Danio rerio: one gene and its partners. The protein of the gene in region 3 binds, or shares a complex with, the protein of the main gene of each other region. Links are inferred from orthologs where the notes say so. Each region holds a gene or a part of one and is shown on either strand. Other genes may lie near its edges.

What was found.
Region 1: the proteins of kpna4 (region 3) and rela are in contact, whole or in part, in a crystal structure (PDB 7LF4), measured with the Homo sapiens proteins. The link is inferred for Danio rerio from reciprocal best matches to the Homo sapiens genes KPNA4 and RELA. Residues at the interface, in NP_002259.1 of Homo sapiens: Lys231, Asp271, Arg306, Asn310, Val312, Thr313, Gly314, Thr315, Asp316, Thr319, Lys344, Glu345, Trp348, Ser351, Asn352, Ala355, Glu387, Trp390; in NP_068810.3 of Homo sapiens: Lys301, Arg302, Lys303, Arg304, Thr305, Tyr306, Glu307, Phe309.
Region 2: the proteins of kpna4 (region 3) and ranbp3a are in contact, whole or in part, in a crystal structure (PDB 5XZX), measured with the Homo sapiens proteins. The link is inferred for Danio rerio from reciprocal best matches to the Homo sapiens genes KPNA4 and RANBP3. Residues at the interface, in NP_002259.1 of Homo sapiens: Arg96, Leu99, Ser100, Asp102, Arg103, Pro105, Phe133, Trp137, Thr140, Asn141, Ala143, Ser144, Gly145, Thr146, Ser147, Thr150, Glu175, Gln176, Trp179, Gly182, Asn183, Gly186, Asp187, Asn219, Trp222, Val225, Asn226, Arg229, Asp261, Trp264; in NP_015561.1 of Homo sapiens: Asn114, Tyr115, Cys116, Pro117, Pro118, Val119, Lys120, Arg121, Glu122, Arg123, Thr124, Ser125, Leu127.

The regions. Positions count from the first base shown.
Region 1 is NC_133182.1:1,073,536-1,077,190, forward strand, and holds part of rela (transcription factor p65), read right to left. Parts: intron 1,348-3,655; coding exon 1,213-1,347; intron 1,078-1,212; coding exon 973-1,077; intron 714-972; coding exon 498-713; intron 1-497. UniProt on the Homo sapiens protein: NF-kappa-B is a pleiotropic transcription factor present in almost all cell types and is the endpoint of a series of signal transduction events that are initiated by a vast array of stimuli related to many biological processes such as inflammation, immunity, differentiation, cell growth, tumorigenesis and apoptosis.
Region 2 is NC_133186.1:6,421,998-6,426,353, reverse strand, and holds the start of ranbp3a (ran-binding protein 3a), read right to left. Parts: upstream 2,894-4,356; 5' UTR 2,878-2,893; coding exon of another isoform or gene 2,856-2,877; intron 1-2,855. UniProt on the Homo sapiens protein: Acts as a cofactor for XPO1/CRM1-mediated nuclear export, perhaps as export complex scaffolding protein. Bound to XPO1/CRM1, stabilizes the XPO1/CRM1-cargo interaction. In the absence of Ran-bound GTP prevents binding of XPO1/CRM1 to the nuclear pore complex.
Region 3 is NC_133190.1:1,641,221-1,644,875, reverse strand, and holds part of kpna4 (importin subunit alpha-3), read left to right. Parts: intron 1-790; coding exon 791-895; intron 896-2,574; coding exon 2,575-2,646; intron 2,647-3,377; coding exon 3,378-3,540; intron 3,541-3,655. UniProt on the Homo sapiens protein: Functions in nuclear protein import as an adapter protein for nuclear receptor KPNB1. Binds specifically and directly to substrates containing either a simple or bipartite NLS motif.

The DNA of each region.
Region 1 (3,655 bases), on a different chromosome or scaffold from region 3:
GTACACATTGCAGTAATAACACAGTAATATTGCCATAATATTGCTGTAATAATGTCATAATGCAGTAATAACGTAGTAATAATGCGGTAATGTAGTAATAATGCTGTAACAACACTTAATTAACACTGTAATGATGCAGTAATGTATTAATAATGCAGTAATAACAAGTAATTAACCCCGTAATAATGCGGTAATGTAGTAATAATGCAGTAATAACACTCAACACCGTAATAATGCGGTAATGTAGTAATAATGCAGTAATAATACTTAATTAACACCGTAATAATGCGGTAATGTAGAAATAATGCATTAATAACACTTAATTAACACTAATAATTCAGTAATGTAGTAATTATGCTGTAATAACAGTTTATTAACCATAATAATGCAGTAATAATACTTAATTAACCATAATAATGCAGTAATAACACTTAGTTAACACTGTAATAACTAGGTATTAATGCAGTATGTAATGGCAACACTGTAATAAAGCTCACCCGGGTCTGAGGGCAGGTACTGGAAGTCCATGGGCTCGCTGACCTCGCGGTCAGATGGTCTGCGCAGCTGCATCTTGACACGCAGCGGCTCGGTCAGGTTAGTGTCGCAGTAGGGCGGCGTGCGGAACACTATCGCCACCTGCCGGTGCACATCAGCCTGAGAGAACGAGCCCTTACTCTCCCACGAGTCCAGGAAGAAGCGCACCTCAATGTCCTCTGAAACACACACACACACAGCATTTTAACCCAGCCCTATGAACAATATTAATACTGAAAATGATCAGTATAAATAAATATATGAATGAATCAAACGTTCAGTGAGACAGTATATGAGCGATGCTGAAACAGGCTGTGTGTGTGTCTCTGTGCTTTTGTGTGTTTATGTGTCTGATTGAGAGTGTGTGTTTGTCTTTAAGTATCCGTGTCTGTCTCTGTATTTGTGTGTGTGTGTGTCTCTGCAGTGCCACACACACACCTTTCTGTACTTTATCACACAGCAGGAAAATCTCGTCTCCTCCTCGACAGCTGCCGGAGTTTCTATTGACACGGCAGATCTTCAGCTCAGCAGTGTTAGGAGCTCCTGCAGGACACAAACACAGAGTTACACACACACAAACACACACATAGATGCACATACAGAAACACAAACAGATACACACAAACGCATACAGATGCACAAACAGACACACACACACACACACACACACAGTCGTACTGTTGTCGTATATCGGCTGAGAGACGACGGGCTCCAGAGGGAACAGATCTCCGCTGCTCAGGGTGATGGAGACCTGGAAACACAGACGCACCGCGTTCAGGTCGAACTCCTCCTCCCAGATCTTTGCGTCAGGAACTACACACACACACATGCACACGTGCAGAGAGAGAGAGAGAATCCAGGTTGCAGATTAACAGTTATGTGTTTGTAAAATGTCATTCACAAATACAGAATGACACAAAAATAAACAAATGTAATTTTGATCCCGCTTGCTTTTGAAGCGTTGTTGATCGAGTTCTTAAATGCCTATGATTGATCACACGCTCAACAGAGAGGGCTGCGATTGGCTCTAATGGTCAGCGCGACTTTGGTGTTGTTCAGCAAACAGTGACACGGACACTGATGTTAATCGGCCGCGGCGATCAGCTGGTCCATTATAGACGGCGTCGCGGTGGAGAAAACTCGCTCGGCAGACATGGTCGTAACGTTACGTTACAAGTACTGTTATTGTTGTAGCAGCTGAGAGAGGAAATAAAACAGACCCCCTAGTTTTGTGCGATTCTGTGATCGCTGAATCCAACGCAAAAATCAACAAAAAGTCGCACATTTTTGCGATTCTGCAAAATTCTTATTTAAACGCAAAATAATCAAAACAAATTTAAATCTTATTAAACAACAAATTCCAAACCAAATTATATTTGTATTTGCAATTGAGTGTGTCACATGACTTATAGATGTTGCATACGCAGCACACGAGATCAATTTAAGTGTCTCTCGAAAAACGGCGTCTCACCTGCGCCCTCACAATCATTACAGTACATGAAAGCCAGGTGGCGGCGTTTTGCAGCATGTGCAGTAAACAGACGCAGATTAAGTGCGAGTGATTTACATGTGAAGTCAATGCAAAGATGCGATTAGGCATCCTGTGGCGCAAATTGTGCGTTTGACGCGCTGTAAAATAAAGTGTGAGCAAACATCTAACAAACAGAGCAACAGAGCAGACAAAACAGCAGCAGCTTACAATGACGGAGATTGGTTGAGGGATGACTTTAGCAAAGAATAAATAAATAAACAAAAGATTTCAATAAAATAAATTCGCGAAACACTAGAGGGTCTGATAAAACAAAACCTCACGAACACGCCAGCAGGTCAAAGGGACTACAGAGAGTGAGAGAGAGCTGGGTTCTGTTGTACTTCCCTCTCAGTGACAGACTGTCCAGCAAACTCACAAGCAGTCAATTGTGCACAGTTTCTGCTTTGTAAGTTGTTGAAGCAGTTTTAATTACTCACAGCCTCCTCCCTCGCTATAGTAAGCTACCGCCATATAGCGCATGTGTGATAAATGACGTCAGTATATAATAAGCGGTTATGATTATTACTAAACCAATAACACACTGTTCACGTCTGATTCTCAGTGCATTGAAGAAACAATGAATTCTGACAGCCCTAGTAACTTATACATACTACTAATTACTACTGACACTACTACTGAGGACTAGGCCCACACGGAATCTGCACACGCAGAAATCTGCAGATTTCCAGCCCATGGCTGAGTCTATTTAGTTACTTGTGTGAATGTGTGTAATCTTATATTTATTCAGTTTTTAAATAAATTCAGTAATAATGTTGACGAGTATTAAAATATTGACATGATTTATTCACAATACAGCTGTCTTGTCTTAGATCTATTATATGAGAGACTTGCTTTGATTACCAAACAAGTGGATCTAATTGGATTTGCATAGTAAACAGTAAATAAAAGTTTAAAATGCATTATTTGTTGACTTCATATATTAAGTTTTTAGTTACGATACTACTACAATCCTTCCGCATAAATCTGCAGAATTTTTACTAAATTCTCAGCAGAAATAGTAAAAGATGTCAGAAGAATCTGTCTGGCCCTACTAATAACTGTATATACTGATGAAGTCAGAATTATTCACCCCCCCCCCCCTTCTTTTTTAAATATTTTCCAAATGATGTTGAACAGATTGAGGAAATGTTCACAGTATGTCTGATAATATTTTTTCTTCTGGAGAAAGTCTTATTTGTTGTATTTCGGCAAGAATAAAAGCAGTTTTTAATTTTTTAAACACCATTTTAGGTCAATATTATTAGCCCCTTTAAGCTATATTTGTTTTCAACAGTCTACAGAACAAACCACTGTTATACAATAACCTGCCTAATTCCCCTAACCTGCCTAATTAACTTAATTACCCTAGTGAAGCCTTTAAATGTCACTTTAAGCTGTATACTAGTGTCTTGAAGAATATCTAGTCTAATATTATTTACTGTCATCATGACAAAGAGAAAATAAATCAGTGATTAGAGATGAGTTATTAAAACTATCATGATTAGAAATGTGTTGGAGAAATCTGCTCTCCTTTAAACAGAAATTAGGGAAAAAAATAAACAGGGGGGCGAATAATTCAGACTGCAACTG
Region 2 (4,356 bases), on a different chromosome or scaffold from region 3:
TATTATTATCGCGTTAATGATCATTTTTCGATACATAGTGGCTGAGACGTTGTTAAAGTAAAAACAGTGTTCGTCTATAGGAAGAAAAAAAAAGTATAGCTTTTAAATTTGACATGACATGGCATCTTTCGTTTCCCAGAGATGGGTTGCGGCTGGAAGGGCATCCGCTTCATAAAAACGTGCTGGATAAGTTGGCGGTTCATTCCGCTGTGGCGACTCCAGATTAATAAAGGGACTAAGCCGAAATGAATGAATGAATGGCAACTTTCGATACAAAAAAGGAATTAAGTTAAATCTGCTGTATAAAAAAAAAACTTGTGCCACTTATTACAATCTGAGCAAGTATTATGAAGTTGCAAGTCAAAGCATGACAGAAAATCTGGCTTTGTTTTTATAATAAACGACATAAACAACAACTCAATATGATATATCTTCAAATCTCTTTGACTGAGCATCGTTACTTTAGTGCTAAACAATGTGTAATTTATTAGGATCGGAGCATGTTTCACAAAGTTACGAGTAGAAAAACCACAACAATAATTCATCAATAGTATGTACTTAACTATGTGTGTTTCTGTGCGGTCTTCATGATGAATATGGATTATGGTGAGCTTAAGCTTTAGTAATCGGGTAAATCTGCTATGAATAATGTTCGATTTTCCACGACTAGAGACAGTTTTGTGACGTTTACTTTCACATTGCGGTGAGTCCAGGCTCAATTACAAAAATCTGTTGTGAATACTGTATGATTTACCATGATCTGACAATGAAGTCACATCACATAAATGACATCTATATTACTGACATATGGGTCAGGGGGAACATCGCATACAAGCATTCGCTCAATTTTAGACAACACCCCAAACAAATATGCCTTTTTATATATCTAAATGATATATGACAAGACTTTCAGAGCTATATGGTGTTTTTCACATCACAGAATCATAAATTACGATTGCTTTGTTCTTGTTTGATAGCAACTAACTCAGCACTACACTGAAGTTAATCAAAATCACTACATGCATTATAGAAACCAAAATCTAAGCTTTCTAATGACACCTGTTTTGTGTTGATCGAGGCAGTAGTTTAGAGAAATTTATGAATCCAATTAATGTTATCAAGTTGATGGAGAGGAATCCCGCTGGAAGTACCCTCCTATTTTACCTCTTGTGGATGTGAATGGTTATATATATATATATATATATATATATATATATATATAATGTGTATAGTTGTTTCCCAGTACTGGGTTGCAGCTAAAAGGGCATTCACTTTGTAAAACATATGCTAAATATGTGGTGACCCCTCATGAATAAAGGGACTAACCCGAAGGAAAATAAATGAATTAAAGTTGCATTTAAAATATGCATTTATGTAGAAAAAAAAGAAAGAAAACATGCACAATATATATTAAAATATACAAAATACATGAATAAATAATCATTAAAACTTTTAATTAATAATAAAAAAAAAATAACTTATTGCTGACAAGAAAAAGTGGAAAAGTAAAAATGTTTAATTAGTATTTTTATGCTGAACTGTGATCCTTGTCCTAAATATACACTACCTGTAAAACGTTTGGGGTCAGTAGGATTTTTAAATGTTTTAAATCAAGCTTCTCCTGCTCACCAAGGCTGCATTTATTTGATCAAAAATACAGTACAAGTAGTAAAATTGTGAAATGTTATTGATAATCATACAGATAATGTTATTATCTGTTGCAGCCTGTAAAGACATCGGGGTAAAGTTGGTTTTATATTTGCACATTTGTTCATTTCTGAGCCAATTTTGACATGCTACTTTGAATATTCGATCTTAATTGTAGGTATGACTTTAAAAACAACATTGCCACTATTTATTTGACTGTGAAAATGTTTTACTTTGATCATCTTTGGCTGAAAAAAAAAACAATTTCCCTTTTTAGAATTTGCAAAAAAAAATAATTTTCTGATTCTGAAATAATATTATTAAAGAGAAACCCTTCTAAAAAAAAAAAAAACAGCTTCAACCAGTCTGCCTTGTTTTAGAGGGGGTTTTGACATTTCCAACCAGGTCTTAGCTGGCCAGGCCATATCCAACTTGACCAGCCTAGCCAAAACCAGCTATGTCCAGCTTAAACCAGTTCTTTAAGGTTGGCTTTGGCTGGTTATTTTTTAGCCTGATCAGCTAAGACCAGGCTAGAAACCAGACTGGAAATGGTCAAAACCCCTCTAAAACCAGGCTGGTCGACCAGCTAAAACCAGTCAACCAGCTTAGGCAGGTTTAGGCTGTTTCTTTTTCAGCAGGGAAGACATAATGTGCGAATATAAAGCCAACTTTACCTCAAATGTAAAGAATTGTTGTACACTTGTTGTTTTGTAATGCTCTGGTAATGTTGGAACAACGAATGAATTATCATCTGGTTTAAGATAAAGGTATAGTAGAAGAGTTATAGCATTCAAAGTCACATTACTGTTGACATTTCAAGCTGGAAAGAGCATAACGTACTATACAGCAATGCCTCTTATCTCAAACGCAGATGTTTCAAACTCACACACCCACTATAACGTGCGTTACAAGAAATAAACCTGAACAATAAACACTGCCTAGTGTAATAAAGGAACTACATAACGTTAAGCCTATTATTTATAAACCGAATCACATATACCCGCACTACACTTTCAATCATAAATAATGTGATTGTATGTAAACATTAGTCATATCTCTGATTATGCAGGTCTGTTTGAACGCTACGACATTATTACGTTAATAAATCTATCAACTCCAAACAGTTTCTCACATAACGCGAGTCGTTATAGTAAATAAACGGGCACGGAGGATGCTTAACCAGTAATTCAGACATAAACATCACTTACCCTCAGCTGTCTCCTCCGCCATCTTACTTCCGCTGACTAACCATAATCCCCCGCGCTTTACAATGACGCAATAGTGTCGACAGGGTTGTGTTAGCAGAGATGTTATTATTAAAAATGTCAAAATACAATTATAGTGGCAAAGGAGCTGAAGTTAATTGACTAGTAAAGTTATTGTCAATTAAATAGGTTAAAATAATATAATTGTAAAGATCTTTATGTTGAATTGTCTCGTTATTTATTTTATGTAATTTATTTTTTGTTTATTTTATGTTATTAGTTACATTTGTATTTTTTGGATGTCATGTTTAAAATGTATATTAGTTGTTGTTTAATAAAAAAAATAAATGAAAAAAAGCTGAGATGTTATTTGGAGGCTTTGAGATGTTAGATTATATAGCTATGAACAATACATTCAAGATTATTAGGATGAAAAAAATGTGCCGTTGACCCTAATTCATGATGTTTTTGTTTTTTATTCCACACAGTATCTTCAAGAAGGTGGATGGTCTCAAGTTTCTTTTGACTTGCAATTTTTCACCATCAAAATTACCAGTAAAATGATCTAAATTTCATGAGCAAGCACTCTCGGCTTGGAAACTTTGCTTTGTGTATAATTTTTTCTCCACACAGAATGAAAATTTGGAATAAGTTACTGTTAAAGAAAAGAGTTTATATTTGGAGAAATTGTTGGAAAATATTGGTACATGTAAGTGATATATTTAATTAATCTTTAAGGATTTATTCATATAAATCATTTTTATCTAAGTTCAATTTTCCTGTTAAATTTAAAGAATTTTCAACAGTGATCAAGATATCCCCTCGAGACTCCTTAATTTAATGGTACATGTACAGTCATTTGACCTATTATAAGATATAAAATAAAGAATGTAATTTCCTGATAAATCGTAAAAATATATTTGACAAAAATGTACTAACAAATACATTAGGCAAGTATTTGATGATAAAAATAGAGTTATTCCAAGAGGGAAATTTTATTGGAATTCGTTATTATGGGAGGTCAATTGGAGAAAAGCATGGCTGCTACCATACAAATTTTGCATTTAAAATAAAGTAAGAGAAATTAATTTAAAAATTTTACAATAAATATACCCAACCAACGTGTTACTTTCCAAATTTTTAGATATTGAGAAAGATCTTTTTCTGATTATTCTGCTAAAAATAATATGTTGATAACATTGAATGGAAAATAAATTATTTGTTATTTTGAAAAGGGTGATAAACTAATTAACAACTTGTTAATTTTATTATTTTTAATGGTAAATTCTTTATCCACAAATGTAGAATGTTCAAAAACTCCTCCTTTATACATAGTATTTTTCAACAAACTTATTCTGCTAATGAAGTCTCTTAAAGCTGTAAAAAAAAATGTAAAAGCTCTGTCTATCGTAAGCTAATATAAATCTGTTTTTGGTGTCTTCCTTTTGTTTTTTATTTTTATTTATTTATATAGAATTTCAATTATGCTGGATTTTTTGTTGCC
Region 3 (3,655 bases):
TTATGTATATTTTGTAAGTAATGTTGTTGTTTTTTTCAAAGCTTAGTTTGCTTTAATTCTTGTGTTTTGCTGTGAAAATGCATGATCATAAATATCTTATAAACCACCCTACAAGCTAAATCCTGTAAGTATTGAATAAACCTAAATTTACATTAAAGTGTTGTAAACGAAACCCTGTGTAAGTTGCTCTATTGCGTGCAGTGTCACGCTTTTACCAGCTCTGACACTGTGTTGTAACAACACACGATACGATGCGTGCAAAAATGTATATTTTCCATATTACGGATTTTTTTTTTTTTAAAACAGCAGCGTGCAAAATTTATGTTAATATGCTGTTGTTAGTGCGACGTTGCAGAATTTAATAATATATATATATATTATTTAATTCTGCAACGTCGCACTAAAACAACAGCATAAACTTCAATGACTTAGATCACCTCAGCTACTGATTATGGGCATTTATTGCCATGCTGATAGTTAACTTCATGTCTTGAAAATTAAAATGACTTGCAGACGATTTGCAATGGGTCACGGTTCGGGCTTTGATTTTCAAACCAATAACATCAGTCACTCAGCAGCCTATTAATAATGTTAAATATTTATTAAGTAGACCTTAATAAATGACCAAAAGCCTTCAGCATTTCATTGGGAGTGCAGTGGCTGGTGTTTAAATGTTTCTGTCGTGTTGCGCTGCTTTTGCTGAGGTCAGAATATTTGCTTGTTGCTGCAGTCTTGTTGTTAGGACATGTGAGGCTGATGTGTAATGAATCTGGATGTTGTGCTCTTGCAGGAGGCTGTGTGGTTCCTGTCCAACATCACAGCAGGAAACCAGCAGCAGGTTCAGGCCGTCATTGATGCCAATCTGGTGCCCATGATCATTCTGCTGCTGGATAAGGTGAGTGATGACCCGAGCTCTCTTTAACAAGTTTACCACCCACACTTCAGCTTTAGTAGTACTAAACTAATAATATTAATAATAATTTCTTATATTTAAATATATAGCGCTTTTCTGGACACTCTAAGCGCTTTACATTTTGGGTGAACGATCCTTTTGTATACGTGTAAAGTTCGCTCATCATTTAGTGACCCTTGATTACAAAGTAGAAAAATCAAATATCACTGAGGTCGATGGTTGCAGGTTTCCAGCTTAAGCCTATTTTTTTTTAGCGTTCACAATATTGACAATACACACAGACGTGACTCAGACTAATGCAACAAGTAAAATCCTACATGACTTCATGCTTTAACAGGCAGTCAAGCAGGTCGCACACCAGAAGCGCCGCGACACGGTGCGCACATGACAGTTTAAACTATCACACACCAAACGCGCACATTGACATGATATTTAACATGAAACTAATCAGATGGCGCTCTGTGGGCTGGATGAAATATGAACTGCTTCGTAAATCGTGACTGGGTGGCGCCGGTGTGTGTATAGAAATCGGTTTAGAATTCTAAAATCCATGGCGCTGCGTGGTGCTGTGCATCGCCGAGAAGTGCTTCTGGTGTGCTTCCTGCTTCATAGAGTGAACCAAAGCGCATTGGTGCCATTATAATGTATTAAATATATATTTTTTTTAAGAATCGTGATTTCTCGATTTGATTCAAAATTAAATCGTCTTAAAACGTAAATTCGAATGAATAAAAAAAAAAAAGGGAAAAATCGCCCAGCCCTACCTTTACTTGATTCAAACGTCCAAGGTTTTCCTCAGTTGAACACAAAGTAGAAAAATCAAATATCACTGAGGTCGATGGTTGCAGGTTTCCAGCTTAAGCCTATTTTTTAGCGTTTAACAGAAAAATATTTGGAATCAATCAGTTATTAGTGAGGAAATGTAATTTTTGGGAGAGCGGTCTGTTTAACGTGGGTAGAGAATGTAATTGTTACTCCTAAAATAAAAACTTTAATATTTTTAGGACCCAGAGAAGCAAAAGTTAAGACTTTGAGGTGTTTCTGCTTCACTAAACCAGAGGTTCTCAAAGTGGGGGTCGGGAACCCCCGAGGGGTCGCGGGACAATGAAGGGGGGTCGCCTGGTGATTTCCAAAAATCAATTAATTTTTATTAAACCTTAAGACTTACTGTATTTCATCAATAACTTACTGAAGAGAAAAAAATAGTCGTTTATAGTTACTATAAACTATATAGTTACTATAGTAGCTTATATTTAATAGTTCTATTGGATTGTGACTTCTTGGGTAATTACATTATACTAAAGACACAGCAATACTGTCAGATGCAGCAGATTGATTTTATAACACCAGGTTAAACTTTCTAGCCCATTTACAGCACTGACATACATTAAAAAAACAAAGAATAGACTTGGGTCTATTAGTGTGTGTGTGCATCATTGCATACAAGGTTTCTGTATTTATAACCACCACCTCAGAGAATATTGGGGGTCACGAGTCACTGGCATTGTCCTTTTGGGGGTCGCGGGCTGAAACGTTTGGGAACCCCTGCACTAAACTATGAGAATTTTAACTGAGCTGAATTTTTGGCACATTTTAATGTTACCGTGAACATGGCACTGCTGTTGTTGAGTCTCTCCATGTAATGTTGTTGTCTCTCGCAGGGAGATTTTGGCACTCAGAAGGAAGCAGCGTGGGCCATCAGCAACCTGACCATCAGTGGCAGAAAGGATCAGGTGTGTGTTCAGGTGCACAAGCATGCGTCAGGGTTCTTGCACCTTTCCCAATGTTGAATATAAGCACTTTCTGGGTGCATTTTCAAACTCTTCCTACATGTCAACTTGCATATTTATAATTCATCCATACTTCATCACATTATTTTAGTTACTATTGTTTTATTTCAATTCTACTATGTTAGAATTAGTGCTTGGCAAAAATTAATTGAATCCAAAATAAGTTTTTCTTCACATAATATGTGTGGGTGGCACGGTGGGTCAGTGGTTAGTACTGTCGCCTCAAAGCAAGGTCGCTGGTTCAAGTCCTGGCTGAGCCGGTGTGCATTTCTGTGTGGAGTTTGCATGTTCTCCCCGTGTTGGCGTAGGTTTCCTCCGGGTGCTCCGGTTTCCCCCATAAACACATGTGGTATAGGGGAATTGAATGATCTAAATTGGCTGTAGGGTATGGGTGTTTCCCAGTACTGGGTTGCAGCTCGAAGGGCATTCGCTGTGTAAAACATTTGTCAGAATAGTTGGCGGTTCATTCTGCTGTGGTGACCCTTGATGAACAAAGGAACTCAAGTCAAAGGAAAATGAATGGATGAATAATATGTGTGTGCATATTTTATTACATTTCCAAGCACTTTATCCAAAATCAAAGCACTTTTCAAACTTGTTCCGTTCCAATTTGGGCATTTTCAAGGATTTCCAACAAGCTGAAGTGTTAAACACGGTGTGATCTTATCCTGTAGGTGGCGTACCTGATCCAGCAGCAGGTGATTCCTCCGTTCTGTAACCTGCTGACTGTGAAGGATGCTCAGGTAGTGCAGGTGGTTCTGGACGGCCTCAGTAACATTCTCAAGATGGCCGACGATGAAGCGGAGACTGTGGCCAACCTCATCGAGGAGTGTGGAGGTGAGCAGACGCTCGTGTTTGTGTGTGGAGTAGCAATCAGTGTTCGAGTATCTACTTGTACGCTAAATCCTAGTGTGTATGTTTCGGGAGATGATAGCACGTGTTGTTTGAGTAC